Canis lupus familiaris: one gene and its partners. The protein of the gene in region 3 purifies or fractionates together with the protein of the main gene of each other region. This does not show direct contact. Links are inferred from orthologs where the notes say so. Each region holds a gene or a part of one and is shown on either strand. Other genes may lie near its edges. The genes, in order: MKKS, BBS7 and BBS12.

Evidence for each region.
Region 1: the proteins of BBS12 (region 3) and MKKS purify together in Homo sapiens (co-immunoprecipitation; 4 studies listed by BioGRID and IntAct, counting the BioPlex papers as one, with this or other methods). This does not show direct contact. The link is inferred for Canis lupus familiaris from reciprocal best matches to the Homo sapiens genes BBS12 and MKKS.
Region 2: the proteins of BBS12 (region 3) and BBS7 purify together in Homo sapiens (co-immunoprecipitation; 3 studies listed by BioGRID and IntAct, counting the BioPlex papers as one, with this or other methods). This does not show direct contact. The link is inferred for Canis lupus familiaris from reciprocal best matches to the Homo sapiens genes BBS12 and BBS7.

The regions. Positions count from the first base shown.
Region 1 is NC_049245.1:12,367,555-12,372,643, reverse strand, and holds part of MKKS (McKusick-Kaufman/Bardet-Biedl syndromes putative chaperonin), read right to left. Parts: coding exon 4,803-5,089; intron 2,198-4,802; coding exon 2,022-2,197; intron 872-2,021; coding exon 761-871; intron 1-760. UniProt on the Homo sapiens protein: Probable molecular chaperone that assists the folding of proteins upon ATP hydrolysis. Plays a role in the assembly of BBSome, a complex involved in ciliogenesis regulating transports vesicles to the cilia.
Region 2 is NC_049240.1:19,137,436-19,142,524, reverse strand, and holds part of BBS7 (Bardet-Biedl syndrome 7 protein), read right to left. Parts: intron 2,806-5,089; coding exon 2,696-2,805; intron 2,561-2,695; coding exon 2,457-2,560; intron 2,329-2,456; coding exon 2,205-2,328; intron 118-2,204; coding exon 1-117.
Region 3 is NC_049240.1:18,368,342-18,374,161, forward strand, and holds the start of BBS12 (Bardet-Biedl syndrome 12 protein), read right to left. Parts: upstream 3,575-5,820; 5' UTR 3,423-3,574; exon of another isoform or gene 3,411-3,422; intron 3,395-3,410; exon of another isoform or gene 3,309-3,394; intron 2,976-3,308; exon of another isoform or gene 2,642-2,975; intron 1-2,641. Other genes in the region: centrin-4, read left to right, coding at 3,883-3,885, 5,270-5,416, 5,814-5,820. UniProt on the Homo sapiens protein: Component of the chaperonin-containing T-complex (TRiC), a molecular chaperone complex that assists the folding of proteins upon ATP hydrolysis.

The DNA of each region.
Region 1 (5,089 bases), on a different chromosome or scaffold from region 3:
TTTATTTTTAAAGTTCAATGCAGGGCTCGAACTCACAACCCTGAGACTTGAGCTGAGTTCGAGTCAGAAGGTCAACTGACTGAGCCACCCAGCCACCTCCTGCAGTCTCTTGATAACATTCCTGACTAACCAAAGAATCAACTGCAAATATCTGGAAAACACATACCTTTCTGTATCCATTTTCAAATAAAGTAGGTCAGTATTTATGAAATAATCAGAACTATCCTGCACTAAGTTTATCTATTATCAGGACACAGAGTTTCTTAAAATGAATAAAAAACATTCTATTTGATAGAATTTATATCATAAATAGATGCAAATTTAAAAATTATAATAGAATCTAGTGCTTAGAATGCTTTATTAAATGAAACTAAGTCTTTTCTTGATAGTCCAGAAGGTACTGAGTATTTTATAGAATCTTAATACTTTCATTATGACTATCAATTATTATCGTACCGCGGCAGTTGAAATCTGTATATAATTTACATTACCAGAATGCTCATTTCAACACGCAGTATTTCACAATACTCAAAGATTGTGATCATTTGGTGAAAGGCTGGATTGATAATAATCGTTGTGATAAAGATACTACCTTATATTTGCAAGTATTATTTTCCTCAAGTGTTTTCAAATACAAAATCTGAATTATACTACTGAGAAAGTAAGCATTAAAGGCTGCAGGGTATTGTGATTTGGTTTATTATCTATAAAACAAATGTTGCTGAGAATTTAGATAATCTGAGCAGACTACCTAACCTACCTTGTGTCTGATATATGCTGCCAAATGAGTTTCAGTACAGCCGCCTCCCAACAAAACACATGGTTCCTTGATGGTTAATTGCAAAACATGCAGTGCAGTTTGACATGTGAGCTAAAAAAGAGACGAATTATCAGAATCAGACATTGGCATCAGACACACAAAGAAATATAACCATGTTTTCAAGGGAACTTACGTAGTAGACTCAGAGCTGAATTTTAGTTGCAAAAGAAAAAACTTGTGTTGCCAAGGTTGTAATGTAATTAATACATTTTGGAATAATAAAGATTAGAAATTAAAGAAAAATACTTTAGCCAGATGTTTGTCTCCATGGACAAGATTAATATCATCTTTCATATATACTTCGTTCTTCAAACTGAGATTCACAAATGGATGGCCTCAAAATAACTGGGTCAGCAAGGTTTGCTAGTATTTCTACTAAAAAAAATTATTTCAGTCTAAATAAGTTAGCTGTATACCTGCTATAGAATATTCAAGTTGCTGTGGAAGTAATAATATCTACAATCCAGTAGTAATAAAAACAGAGACCTTTCATATTTACCAAAGATATATTCTTGAGTATACATGAATCCTTAAGATTGTGACCAATACCACAGGTTATCACTTTTTTTTTATGATTTTATTTATTCATGAGAGACACAGAGAGAGAAAGAGAAAGAGAGAGAGGCACAGACACAGGCAGAGGGAAAGCAGGCTCTGTGCAGGGAGCCCGACATGGGACTCGATGCCGGGACTCCAGGACCACGCCCTGGGCCAAAGGCAGGCACCAAACCGCTGAGCCACCCAGGGATCCCCCAGTTATCACTTCTAAGTTGCGTTTGTTATTGCTGGTAGAAGACAATAAATTCTATTAAGAGGTGGATGATGGGTATGGCTGGGGAACTAATTTTCTCAGTGAATTATTCATACACATTAGCATAAAAAAGTACAGAGTTCAAGTTAATTACTAAGAAAGTTCACATGTTAAAAAAAAAGAAAAGTTCACATGTTAAAGATCTTTACATTGCTTGTAAATACTAGAAATAGTAACTGGTAGCACTTGCTACCAGTCTACTGTAATATCACAGGTAAGTAAATCAGCTTACTTATGACTTTAATTCCATCATTTTTGTTGTTTTTGCTTTCTATATCACCTGGGAAAGTTACAAAAAACAAAATACATAGCTCACCTATATGAAAAAAACTATTGTCTATTTAATCCCTGCCTCAGCCCCTAGATAATGGAATGCAGTCTGTGACCTACCTTCAGCTCATCCCAGGCAGTATCATTTCTGTTGCAGAGAAGCAAGCTGCAGATAGTTGCTTCATAAGGAATAAGATGAAGAAAATGTTTGAAGCCAAATTTTGCAGGGCACAAATCTTTCACACTTCCATAACTACTAGGAGAGATTGAGCCTATGGAACCAATAGGCTGTGTTCCTATTTTTTAAAGTTTAGAAAACACAAAATATATGAGTAAAGATGGAACTTAATAATCATTTAAAATTGATTCTTAGCCAATATTAAAAGTCCCACAAGCATATACTTTAAAACGTGAAATATAAATAACAAGATGCTTCTAATACCTATAAGTTATACAAGTAGTATTCTATTAAAATGATATACAAATAAAGCAGAGGTTCTTTTGGTTTATAGACTTCATTGAACATCTGTTAGGAGCTATTTTGTATTCTCTAGAAAAAGGCACACAGAAATGTGAGTATATTTTCTGGGAGCTTAAAAAATTTGCAGGAGCCCAGAAAATAATCACTGAACAACTAGACTTCTTTGAATAGATTTTTCTCTTCTGAAGCCTCAAAGATTAAGGAATACTTGGATGATCTAAAATTTAAGGATTAAAAAAAAAACCTACAAGATTTATTATCTCATTTGGTGGGTGCAACAGAAAATCTCTGTATTGAGAGGATCTGGCTCTGCAGCTTATGACCCACTGGACACGAAGCAAGTCACTCATGTCACTAATTTTTCTGAATGGGTCCCCCTACAGGAGTAAAATGGGGATGGTATTATCTCCTTCACAAATAAAACAAATCAAAGGTTCAATCTTCTGTATGCCCATGACAAGCTTCAAACACACCAGGGGCCCATGCACAATAGCCCTACTTAATCTGTATCAATAAGGAGGAATGTTGTCTGAAAGGGGGGAGGATGGAGGTAACATTAACTTAGATAAACAAGGGACAGTGGAAAACATAGTTTATCTGAGCCATGGGCTCAGGTATAGTTGTTTTCCCCCTTCATCTCCAAAGGTCTTTGCTCCCAAGAACCAGGATTAAAGCTGTGGCTATTTACACTATGTTCTAATTATATATGGGATAAATAAGAATTGTTGGCTGGTATGGTAACCCAGTGCCCCCTTGAACTATTTTTTTTTTTTTTTTTTCTAAGATAGGTAGAGACACAGGCAGAGAGAGAAGCAGGCTCCATGCAGGGAGCCTGATCTAGGACTTGGTCCCAGGACTCCAGGATTACGCCCTGGGCCGAAGGCAGACGCTCAACCACTGAGCCACCCAGGTGTCCCTAAACTATTATTTCTATGGCAAAATGTTTCACATTTTAATATTTTTGAAGTATATATTCTTAAAAAGATTTTATTTATTTGAGAGTGAGAGAGAATGAGAGTGCATGAGCAGGGAGGAGGCGGGGAGGGAGAGGTAGAAGCTGACTCCTTGCTGAGCAGAGAGCCTAATGAGAGACTTAATCCCAGGACTTTGGGATCATGCCCTGAGCCAAATGCAGACACTAAACCAACTGAACCACCAAGGCACTCTGTTTTTGTTGTTGTTGTTGTTTTTGTTGTTGTTGTTAGAGAGAGTGAATCTTTAAAACTCTCACAACCCTGAGATCATGACCTGAGCTACAATCAAGAGTAGGACACTTAATCCACTGAGCCACCCGGCTCGAATTTAAAAACTAAATAATCTGTAATACCCAATATTTACAACCGGAAAAGTCATGAAAAACCAGTAAATATTTAAAACTATGGGTCTAATCCAGAACATCAACAATGAGTTCCACAGAACCATTTCCATTATTTAATAATTTCCACTTTGACAATCGTGGACAGCCTTATAAAGATAGGGCAATAACACAGATATTAGGTATTCAATACTGACATACATACTACCACCTTTTAATGACTTGTTAATAACTAAAAACTAAAAATAGTAAACTTTAACAATGGCTTGTCTGATAAGTGTTGCAATTGATCAGAATGGAATGACTGATATCAATGCAATTAAAGGGATATTGAAAGTGGCTCAAATCATGAACTCTACATTGTCAGGTTTCTTTGGCTGTAATTAATAGGTGAATATCAACCTTATGTCTGATTTTAATTTACAAAATACAGTGAATTTCTTGCCTGTTACAATTCTGTATCTTATCACGTTAGTCAGTTAAACAAACGTTTTAGAACACCTACTGTGGACCAGGCCTGTTGTCCGTACTAAAAATAAAAGACAGTCCTGATTCTCAAGGAGCTCAGCTGGAAATATCTGGGATATTTAAAGCTAGTGTGCGCACACATCCACCCACCTACCCACCCCTAATTACGAATTTAGGCAGAAGTACAGTAGTGAAGAGGTAGAAAAGTAGAGAAAAGGAGATATTTTAGCTATAAAATTACCTTCTGAATATAATGGAAGAGGTTTGTAATATTCAAGTAGAAGAATTTTGTGTAAAGTATTAAAGACCTTAGGATTGTGAAGCTGTTAAACTTCTCCATATTCCTAAGGTATTTGGGAGAGTTAATGGTTTTAGATTTTTAACGGATTCTGTAGCCTTTTTGGGATTGGAAAATACCTAGAAATTGCCATAATCACTCAATTTTTAGAAAATGAACATTATAGGATGTTTTTGAGAAACCACCTTTTCTGGCAGGAACGATACACATGCTGTTGAGGTTGGCAGCTTCTAAAACTTTTCAAGATGTTAACAGTGACACACATCAAGAAGGTCTCCGCTCAAAAAAAAGGGGGTCATTTATTAACTGTAAGGAGCAAAAGCTGAAGGTGCTTTTTACCTGTCACTTTACTCAGGGGTTCCATCAGAGCTACTCCAACTCGGTCTATGGCAATGACACGATGCATACTGAGAAACTGTTTCAAAGACGGGTGTATAACTTTCTGACACACAACAAGATCTACGTGATCACTGACAAGCTGCCTCCCTAAGCTGAGCAACTGCTCCAGGACTGCATTTTCAAGAGAAACCCCGTAAGTGACCACCATAGTTCCTTCTCCAGTATCAGAGAGATCTCCTGATAAAGAAGCACAAAAGAGTGCCACCTTGAAGGCTTCGGATTTTTTG
Region 2 (5,089 bases), about 770 kb from region 3:
AAGCAATCAATGCATTTTGGTCGTAACTGTCCAGAATCTCCAGTAAAAGAGGCACTCTGGTTTTTACATTGGTGCCTTTGAACTTGAACTTATCTATGAAAAGATCAGTGATCATGCCTATAAAGAAAAATGTTAATTTCTTGTCATTGATTAGTTCTAATTAACACAGTTCTTAATGAAAGTGATACCTGAGAATCTATTTCTAAGCACTCATTAACTGCATTTTTAAATATATACAAAACTAAAAGTATTGATATTTTTAAAAATATTTATTTGGGGGGATTTTAAGGCAAGTTTCAAAACAAATAATTTGGCTAGTAATCCTCTTATTAGTTAAAAGCTACTAAATTCAGAAAATTAACTGCTGACATGCTGTGAACTGCTATTGGTATATATGTAACATCACAAGTGGTTTTATTTTTCTTCCCAAGCTGACCATTTTGACAAAATGTAGACAGATTCTGTTTTTTTTTTTTTTTTTTAAGATTTTATTTTTATTTGAGAGGGAGCAAAAGAGAGCCTGAACAGGGTGAACGGGGAGGAACAGAAGGACAGGGATAAGCAGACTCCTCACTGAGCAGGGAGCCCCACTTGGGGCTCAATCCCAGGACTTCAGGATTATAACCTGAGATAAAGCAGATGCTTAACCAACTGAGCCACCCAGGTACCCCAACAGATCTTGTTCTTAACAGTTCTATTTGAATTAAACTATTCAATTAATATGATGAATATTCTTGGAATTTATCTAAGATGTGTTTCAGAATTTTTCATATTTTAGAAAGATAATAAAAGGAATACATCATATATGGCATAATATCCAAGGGAAATGAGCGGCAGCATCTGAGAACAAAACATAATAGTGGGACGCCTGAGTGGCTCAGCGGTTGAGCCTCTGCCTTTGGCTCAGGGCATGATCCTGGGATCCGGGTTTGAGTTCCACATTGGGCTCCCTAAGGGGAGCCTGCTTCTCCCTATGCTTATATCCCTGCCTCTCTCTGTGTGTTATTTATTTATTCTTTCATGAATAAATAAATAAATCTTTAAAAACCAAAAAAACACAATAGTGTTTTTGCGGCAAAATATATCGATAAATATTCATACTAAGTAGAATAAAAATGACTATAAATAACCTCAATTGTCAGTTTAAGTGAGGTTTTGTCATTAAATTATTAATTTAGATCAAGTCAAATTTGCTGCCAAATAATTTATAAAAGTTTTAGTTTTCAAAGCTTTCTAGATTTTGGAACTTGTGATAAGAGATGGTTTTGTACCACCCATCTTCTAAGTTATTGTAAGGATAAAAGATTATGTGTTTGCCATATAATCAATATTAAGATACTAGATTTTATTGTTATAGTTTGTGAGCAAGTCCCTGGGTATAAAATTCATTAGGCAGGCTCAAAGATCAGTGTGGATTGATGATACCAACTGACTCTACAGAAGATTTGGTATAGTACAAAAAGCAAGCATTTAGGGATGAGGAAATTATAATGCAGGCTGTGCTACTACCTATGTGACAACAAACTTTTTAGTCTCAGGTTTCAGTTTAAAAAAATGTGAAAAATAACGGTAACACCATCTACCTTGCAGAACTGTTGGAAGGATTAAATATCTGATTAATGAAGATATTGTAAAGAAACGTGCTCTGCACATAGATATTATATAAAGATCACAAAAAAAATGTTTTCCTTAAGCTGTTCTATCCTTTCTCTCTCTTCCTATATGTCTCTCTCTTGCTCTCGATGTTTTTCAAGACAATTTGTGAAACACCCAACTTGTCACCATCAAAGCAAAACAAGTTTTCAACTGTAAATTGACAGCACATATATATCCCTTACATTTTGTCTAAAAAATATTAAATGTTGCATTTTGATATTTCACATTATCATCATAACCTAAAAATTATTTGTGTGAAATACAGCCTACATTTTAATACTTCATAGGCTATATTCATTTCACACCAGATTTCTTCATATACAGATTAATTTACTGCATTACATGTATTTCACTTAACTTTTATTTTGTCAAGTAAAAATATTAATTAAAAAAATTTGACAAAATATTCAATGAAATAAATTCGTTGTCACTGGTTCATGATTTTTATAATCTTCACTTACCTTTCTGCCTAGCTTCTCTCACATGATCCTCCACAAATAGCCAGCAGAAAAGAAATATAGCAAGATTTTCTAGAATAGTCTACTAACCGTACAGTCTTTCAAGATGTGCAGGTTGCTTTTTGTATTCTTCCTGTAGGTGATCTGCTTCTTCTAGAATACAGCGATATTCCGGTATCAGAAAGTCTGTATTTCCCTCGTGAACCTGCAATTCCTTATTTAAAATAAAAAACAAAGGCCTTTAATGTTCAAAGTTAAATCCATGTAACTTTAAAGTCTATAATTTTAGAAATCCCATCACCATAAAGTAATGATCATGAGTCCATGTAAATGTATACTTACTTTTAAAGCATCAATTAATTGCACTTTCTTAGCCAAAAGCAACTGGTACTCCAGCTTTGGGTGGATTAGCTTTAAAGTGTGTTTGACGGATACTTCATTTATCTCTAGAAGAAGGTGAGCCAGGCACGATTAGCTAAGTCACTTTGATCAGAAACATTCTTATTGTAACAACAACGAAAAACCAATACCCCAGAAAGAATGATTTTTCTTCTTCTTTTTTTTTTTTTTTTTTTTTTTACCGTATGATATGTTGAGGTTAATTTTCCTTTTGGTAGCTTCTTTAGACAGCACATCTTTGAGGATGGATATAGTAGAAATGTTGTCAGATTTAAAAATTCCTTCTCCTTTTCTATAAAATTAATATATTTTTAAAAGAACAACTTTAGAAGAAAATAAATATAGTAAGTAGGTCCAGTAAATACAATACTTTATAACCAGTACTTGGTGTTTAGAATTCATTTGATTTTAGATTTCTTTATATACGTATCTCATTATTAATATAAAGCATACTTAAAATGTGTAATCTTTTACTGTTATACAAAGTTTTCATGTGTTTTCATGTGAACAAAATTGTGAAACTAAATAAAAGATGTTAGATATATGCCTCCCAAACATACGTCAATACATGTAAGTCATTAAAGCATCTTTTTTCTTTACTTTGACTAATAAAATTCCCAACAGCTAATTCTGTATGTATATGAAATGCACTTAGAATTGCTTATTACACATAAGTATATTTTTCTTCAACGTACTCACACAAATTACAACAGGACTACATTCTTCATTCTTAAAAGAAAGCTGATACTAAACATAAGAATAATAGCTCTGTTTTTCCATGCCCATCATCCATTGCCATTTCTTACAGACACAGGAGCCGTCATCTTCTTTACAGAACCACTTCTTTTTTCTCTAACCCTCCTCAATCCATATAGTTGACCCTCGAACAATGTGGGGGGTTCGGCTGCCAAACCCCTGCAGTCAAAACTCTGCATATAACTTCTGACTACCCATGGGATCCCTGGGTGGCGCAGCGGTTTGGCGCCTGCCTTTGGCCCAGGGCGCGATCCTGGAGACCCGGGATCGAATCCCACGTCAGGCTCCCGGTGCATGGAGCCTGCTTCTCCCTCTGCCTGTGTCTCTGCCTCTCTCTCTCTCACTGTGTGCCTATCATAAATAAATTAAAAATTAAAAAAAAAAAAATTTAACTTCTGACTACCCAAAAACTTAACTAGCAATAGCCTACTGCTGACCAGAAGCCTTACCAATAATATAAACAGTCAATCAACACGTATCTTGTATGTCATATGTATTATATACTATATTCTTACAGTAAGTTAGAAAAAAGAAAATGTTAAGAAAATCATAAGAAAATACATTTACAGTACCATACTGTATTTATTAAAAAAACTGTATATAGGTGGTCTCTCACAGTTTAAACTTGTGTTGTTTAAGAGTCAACTATAGTTTCACTGGCACTGGCCTCAACCCTTTTTGTGAGACTTTAGGAGGAAGCATTTAGCAATTTGTCACTAAATGTGACATTCCTGACCACAATGGTTCATGGCTCTACAATGACACTCAATCCTGGGACTTTTATTGGAAACAGTGGGAAAGAAAGGCTCGATATTAGCTGAAAAGATAGAAAACTGGATAGAACTGCTGGTGGCCACAATGATACTTAATTGGAAAGCCAAAAAGAGACAAGAACAGAGCTGAGCAATGGAAAGGGATGGTCTTGATGACATCAGTTAAGCCAGTGACCCAGTTGTGCCTAAAGCAGATTACTATGGACTTTTAAGTTATATGAGCTTTTATTTGGTATGTTGGTCTACCTGTATTTGGTTCCTTTTTATGATAATCAAAAGTTTCCTAATCAATATATATACCATCTTTCATGTATGAAATGCTGTCTTTTTTTTTATTTTCACACACCCTAATAGTTTATATTAACTACCTGTAGACAAATGCTAATTCTTTTTTTTTCTAGGAAGATGACTCCTATATTATTTTGATTCCAATTATGTTTTAGAAATCATGATATTTTCACTAGTCTTTAATTTTAACTGATGATATTTAATATTAAACACATAGTACCTAGCACTGTGGCATGATTCACAAGATTTACATTCTTTAATCAATCATCACCACTCATTGAAGTGCTATTATTTCTATCCCTCAGAAAAGAAAACTGAAATCAGTGAAATAATCCAGATAGATCAAATAGCTGATAAGTCACAGAGTCATGATTCAAACCTAATGTCTGCCTCTAAAGCACACTTTCTCCATATTACATGTATTTTTAAGTACCCTAAAAATATTTGAGCACCACTATGTTCAAAGCCATGTAGTAGGTACTTGGAGGAAACATATAAAGATAATTAAGAAATTGACTATGCCCATAAGGAGCTTAAAGTCTAATTTGAATAATTTGAAGGAACAAGCTTACATAAAAATTACTATTTACTTCAAACAAATAACAATAAATACCTAAGACAGGTCATTTCACATTCCAAGATAGGAACAAAGGAGAAGCAAAATTTAGCCTCTACTGTATTCAGACAGAAATTATGGAAGCCTGTGGGAGATGAGTGAGTAGCGACATGAAGGAGCAGGAGTGCAATGAAGAGCTTAAG
Region 3 (5,820 bases):
AAGTAGTACACAGTTTACATATTTATTCATTTATTATTTTCCTTTATTGGAATGTAGTTCCAGGAGGACAATTTTAGTCACTGAGGTATCCCACATACCAAGAATATTGTCTGACACACGGCTGACACTCAATAAATATTTGGTGAGCAAATGAATGAATGGCATTCACCATATTTGCTATCTTACCTTTAGGTACAAAATGACAAGATCAAACAGATGCCGCTATCAGTATTATTCTCCACAAATTTAAATTTCAATCACCTTTAGAGGTTATGTGATTCCTATTTGGCACTGCCTTAGGTGAGACCCTTTATTTTACTTTATTTAAAGATTTTATTTTATTTTATTTTTAAGATTGATTTATTTATTCATGAGAGATACAGAGAGAGAGAGAGAGAGAGAGAGAGAGGCAGAGACACAGGCAGAGAGAGAAGCAGGCTCCATGCAGGGAGCCCGACGTGGGACTCGATCCCAGGTCTCCAGGATCAGGCTCTGGGCTGAAGGCAGTGCTAAACCACTGAGCCACCCGGGCTGCCCTGAGCCAAAGGCAGATGCTCAACCACTGAGCCACCCAGGCGTTCCTAGGTGAGAACTTTAATTGCTTCCAAAATGGTTCCTCCTTCACATGGTTGTCAGAATTATCTTTGCAAAGCATAAACCTAATTAAAGCATTCCATTATCTAAAAACATCTATTTATCTTAGAAAATAAAATCTTTACTCCTTAGTTTGACATAGGTGTCCTATAATCGGACCTCAGTATAATTTATGACTCATTTTCCACCTTTCTTTATGAATCCTAAGATCTTGCCTCACTAGAACATTTATTTTCATTTTTACACATGCTATATTCAGATTTAATATCCCACCCTTTCTTCATCTTGGCAAATGCTATATATCTTTTATCACCCAAGGCAAATGCCACATTTTTGATACAATCTTGTCCAATGCCCCAGGAAGTCCAGCCTCCTTCCTGGGCTCAGTCACTTTCTACACACACATGTACTAAAGCATTTAGCATCCTGAATTTAAAACTCTGTATCTATGTCTGTCCCTTTCTCTCCCACTAATCTGTGGGTTCCTTGCTTTTATTCATCTTTATACTCAACACTCAGTTCCTTTCAAACTCAATAGTTGACACAGTATAGGTCATGTGAAAAGCAGTAGGTAAATTTAGTAGATTTAAGGGTGCCAATGGATTTAATATTTTCCTAGACTAATCATTATCATTACTATTACTAATGTTTTATAATACAATTAGATTAGTAATGGCTATTTTTCAAGACTAAGTATTTCTTACCTAAGAACTAGAAATTGCAATCTGAGCCTATCATCAAAAAAAATCATTGTTACTAGAAGTTAGCTTCCTAAGTATAAGACCCTAAATCATAAAGTGATATCAAAGCAGGTTAACATATTACTCAGCCTTTGAACTGCCATGAGATTAAACTTGATCTAGGTTAGAATTTGATTCTATATATTTGGTCACTATTCATTTCTGGGTCTCAGAAGTCCCCTTAATATTAGTCGTAAAGATAAAGTAAATGTCCTTAAAACTAATCAAGAGCAACTTTCCCAGTGAGATTATGGCTGAAAAATCAATATACAGTTAACCTTTCTAGGGGGCCCAACCACTGCACAAGTGAAAATCGAAACATAACTCTTACTCCCCCAAACCCTAACTACCAATAGTCTACAATTGTTTGGAAACCTTACCAATACTATTAGTAGTCAATTATTACATATTTTATATGTTACATGTATTATATACTGTATTCTTACAATAATATTTTTCTTATTTTTTTTTCAGTATCTCTAGTGTCTTAATAATATCTCTAGTATCTTGTAGTACCTCTACAAGGTTCAACTGGTAGTTTTTTTCAAATTGTGGCAAATCCCCCCCCCCCCCCCAAATCCACATATATGTAGGCCCACACAGTTCAAATCCTTGTTGTTCAAGCAAGGGTCTACTGTATTATAATCAAGCGAATAAACACTTTACTTAACTCACAAAATATCTTGAACTTGTGTAATTTTAATTTCCACTGCAACTTTATACATAAAAAAATCACTTCCTATATTAGAATAGGTGATCCCTGGGTGGCTTAGCGGTTTAGCGCCTGCCTTTGGCCCAGGGCGCGATCCTGGAGTCCCGGGATCGAGTCCCGCGTCGGCTCCCTGCATGGAGCCTGCTTCTTCCTTTGCCTGTGTCTCTGCCTCTCTCTCTCTCTCTCTCTCTCTATCATAAATAAATAAATAAATAGTAATAAATAAATAAATAAATAAATAAATAAATAAATAAATAAATAAATCTTTTTTAGAATATTAGAATAATCTTATCAGTTTTCCAGAATCCTAACGTGTTGTTTATCTATGATTACAAAGCCTGGGTAACTGGGATAGAAGGTGAACCAGACAGGATGATGGTTTTGGAGAATGTGCCGTGTTTCTACATATTACAATAGGAACGGTGATTTGGGAGACTGCTTCAAGAATGTACTTTGCACATTTTACCTGCCCTACCTGCAGGAGGTTAAGTGGGAGAAAGGGGAGGGGGAAAAAACCCAGCTAGGTAAAAATTAATGTTCCTATCAATCCACTGCTGCAGAATCCAGTATGATTCCTGGAAAATAAAGTACTTACTCTGCAGAAGGCACTGCAGGAGGCATAACGAGAGCCCTGGTGCAGAGCCCTGATGCGTAAGGAACAGGGCTGCAGGTTTGAGGAGCTATCTCCTCTTCATTTCTACCAGGAAGTCAGAGGTCCACCTCATTCTCTCCCACCCTTTAGCTAGTCTCTGACCGGATTCACGACTGGACAAACCGACAAGTCCAGCCCCGTGGACAAGAGTTTGCTTGGAGCTGCAGCAGTTAGGGGCTGGCCAGCAGGATTATGAGGCTGCGTCTCTGCTGGATACCAGGCCTGGAAAGCCGCCCGAACCTCATTCATTCAGCCACAGGCATGGCCGAGGGTGAGCCTCGGGGGGGGGGGGGGGGTGGTCGGGGGAGGTGTCTGATCGTGATTTCGGTTGGAGCCAAAGTCCTACCGGCCAGCAAATGCTGCAGCGCTGGCAAGGGCGCGCGCGGCGAGGCGAGGCGCAGCCCAGCACCAGCCCCGCCCGCCCCCGCCCGCCCCCCTCCACCCCTGCGGCTGCCGCGCCGCATCCCTCAGACCCCGGCAAGAGGGAAACACTACAGGCCAAGCCCCAGGCACGGAGGCCAAAAACTATCTAGCGGCCCTGGGGAAGCTCAGTCCCCTCCACCTCCGATAACCCCAGCAGGGTCGTTAAGCCAAGACTGGATCAGTTTACCCGGCCCGCCAGGCCCCGGTTCTCATTCTTTCTCCCGGGGCTCGAAGAGGGCAACAAAGCAAACGGGCTCTCCGCGCCTGCACTAAAGACTTCTGGAAGTACCTCGCGACGAACCTCGCTCCTCTCCGTCCTCACGCGAGGCTCCAGACCCCCGCTTGCCCACCTCGGGCGGCGGCGTTCCCGCGGGCACCCGGGCGCCGAGGAACCGGGCGGAGGACGCCCCCCTCTGGGCCCGCACTCTGCGCATGTGCGAGGCGGAGCGAGCCGGCGGCCGGCGGGGTGGGGCAGGTCTCTAAGATTACCCCGACCGAGAGTTCTGCCCGCGGTCGGCTCGGAAAAGCAGAGCGCTACTCTATTGGTAGAGAGCAGAGAGAGGGGGCGGGCCTCAGGGCCCTGATTTCTGTTCATTGGGTGGAATGACTGTCAATCAGTAGGCAAATCTGGTGGGCGGGGCTTCTGGAGAGCGGGGCGAGAGCGGCCTTAGCAACGGTTGCTGAGCCGGGGAGACTGCAGCAGGGCGGTGCGGCTGGCGGCTGAGACCGGGAGGTCCCGGCAAAGGGCACCGCTTGGTGACATGGTGAGTGCCAAGCCGGTAAGCCCTTGCTGGGCCGGGGCCGGGGTTGAAGTGTCACCTCGGAGCAAGGAAGGAATTTTGTTTGGTTTATGCAATGTATTATTGGCCTCCTGATCCTCGAGTGTCATTTAGTGGCGCCTCCTCTCGTGGCCCAGGGGAAGCACGTTGCCCCTGGCTCTGGGGGACAAGCCAGGGCGGGGCTCCAGTTCATTCTTCCCTCGTCGACCCCACCAGCCGTTGATACCCGCGCTCTGCGATAGGTTCCGTGATGGAAACGGAAAGGAATTGAGGACGGAGAATAAGAGGCTTAGAAGCTGTTGGAAGGGGCAGCCAGGGTGGCTCTAGCGGTTTAGCCCCGCCTTTGGCCCAGAGTGTGATCCTGGAGACACAGGATCGAGTCCCGCCTGGGGCTCCCCGCAGGGGGGCTGCTCTCCCTTAAGCAAATACATCTTTAAAAAGAAACTGTTGGAGGGTCTAGACCTCTAGAAAAGAGGTCCTGAACTCGGAGAAAGTGACCGGCCAGGGTAGCTCCGCCCTCCCACTCTTGGGAAGGTAAAGGTCCTAAAGGCTGGAGCTGTTAAGTTGGAGATCACACCGGTGTATTTGCAATCCGAGGCCAGAGAATCCACCGCTGCCACGAGGAACCCTTAATCCACGTGAAACCCGAGGCTAGGTGCCCAGGAACGCGAGGTCCAGCTGCCGTCCCTGCTGCCACTGCTGCCTGACCGGAAGCTGGAGACCAGATACCGAAATAAGGCTGCAGCAACACCCCAGAAGCAACTCTTTGACCTTGCTTGTCAGCGGGGATTGGCACAAAGCAGCAAGATGACCTCCACCATACCCCTGGATACTGATAATTAGCCCAACATTTATTCTTACTCAGATCCCTGGAATAGTTTTTCACCCGGAAAATGTAGGTGTTTTTTTCCCCGCCATTTCTCAGCTTCTGCAATATAGAAAAGTATGCTAAAAGATGGGAAAGGATATTATGTTTCGGTCAAGCATATCCCACAAAAGAAACAAATTTTATTATGAGACATAGAGGCCTAGATAAAAGGGATGCCTTAGGCACTGCTTTTCAAATATACCAAGTAAGGCCAGTCGTATTGGAACTTAAGATCTACTGTTCAAGCATGCGTGCCTTTGCCTCTTCTTTCTTTCAAAGGCACTTGTTTGTTGAAGGAAAAACTTGAGTGGTAAAAAGAACCAGGCTTTCCACCAAGATATTAATAACTAAAAGTACAAATGTTAGCAAAGGGGAAAGGAGGAAATTGCTGATGGTCATTGTGTAGTAGGGAATAGGGTTCTTGAGTATGCTTATTTATCATTGATTATTCTGGTTCTGGTAACTTTTCCAGTTATTCATGCATATGCGTATTTATTACAGGCATCCAACTATTGTATAGGTTCAGACCAATGGAAGAAAAGAGCAGCAAAACTTGAATTGAATGAAACCCAAAAGCAAGAAATTAAAGAGGCCTTTGATTTATTCGATGTTGATGGGTCTGGAACCATAGATGTGAAAGAATTGAAGGTTTTGAAATTACTTCTAATTCTAAAACATTGTAAAAACCATTACTTATTTGTGCCAATTTTTCAATCTTTAACAGCAGCCTTCTAAAAGCTCAGTATAAAATCTCCTCAGTGTGGATACCTGCACCTTCAGTGTATACACCTACCCCATACTAACAAAATAGTATCACGTTAGGCATTTTACTCTTGTTTTATGAATGAGTAAAACAAAACACAAGATCTGACAGTGACATATCCTATGGCATAGTAGGATTGGAACCTACCTAGGCCTGCTGACCTGACTTTCTAGGTTTATGCATAGTCCATAGTAAAAAAGAGAAAATCTAGTCATTAAGAGGTAATTTAAAAACTAGGAATGAGATTGTGGCATAGTATAATTTATTTGCTTCCTATTTCAGATTGCAA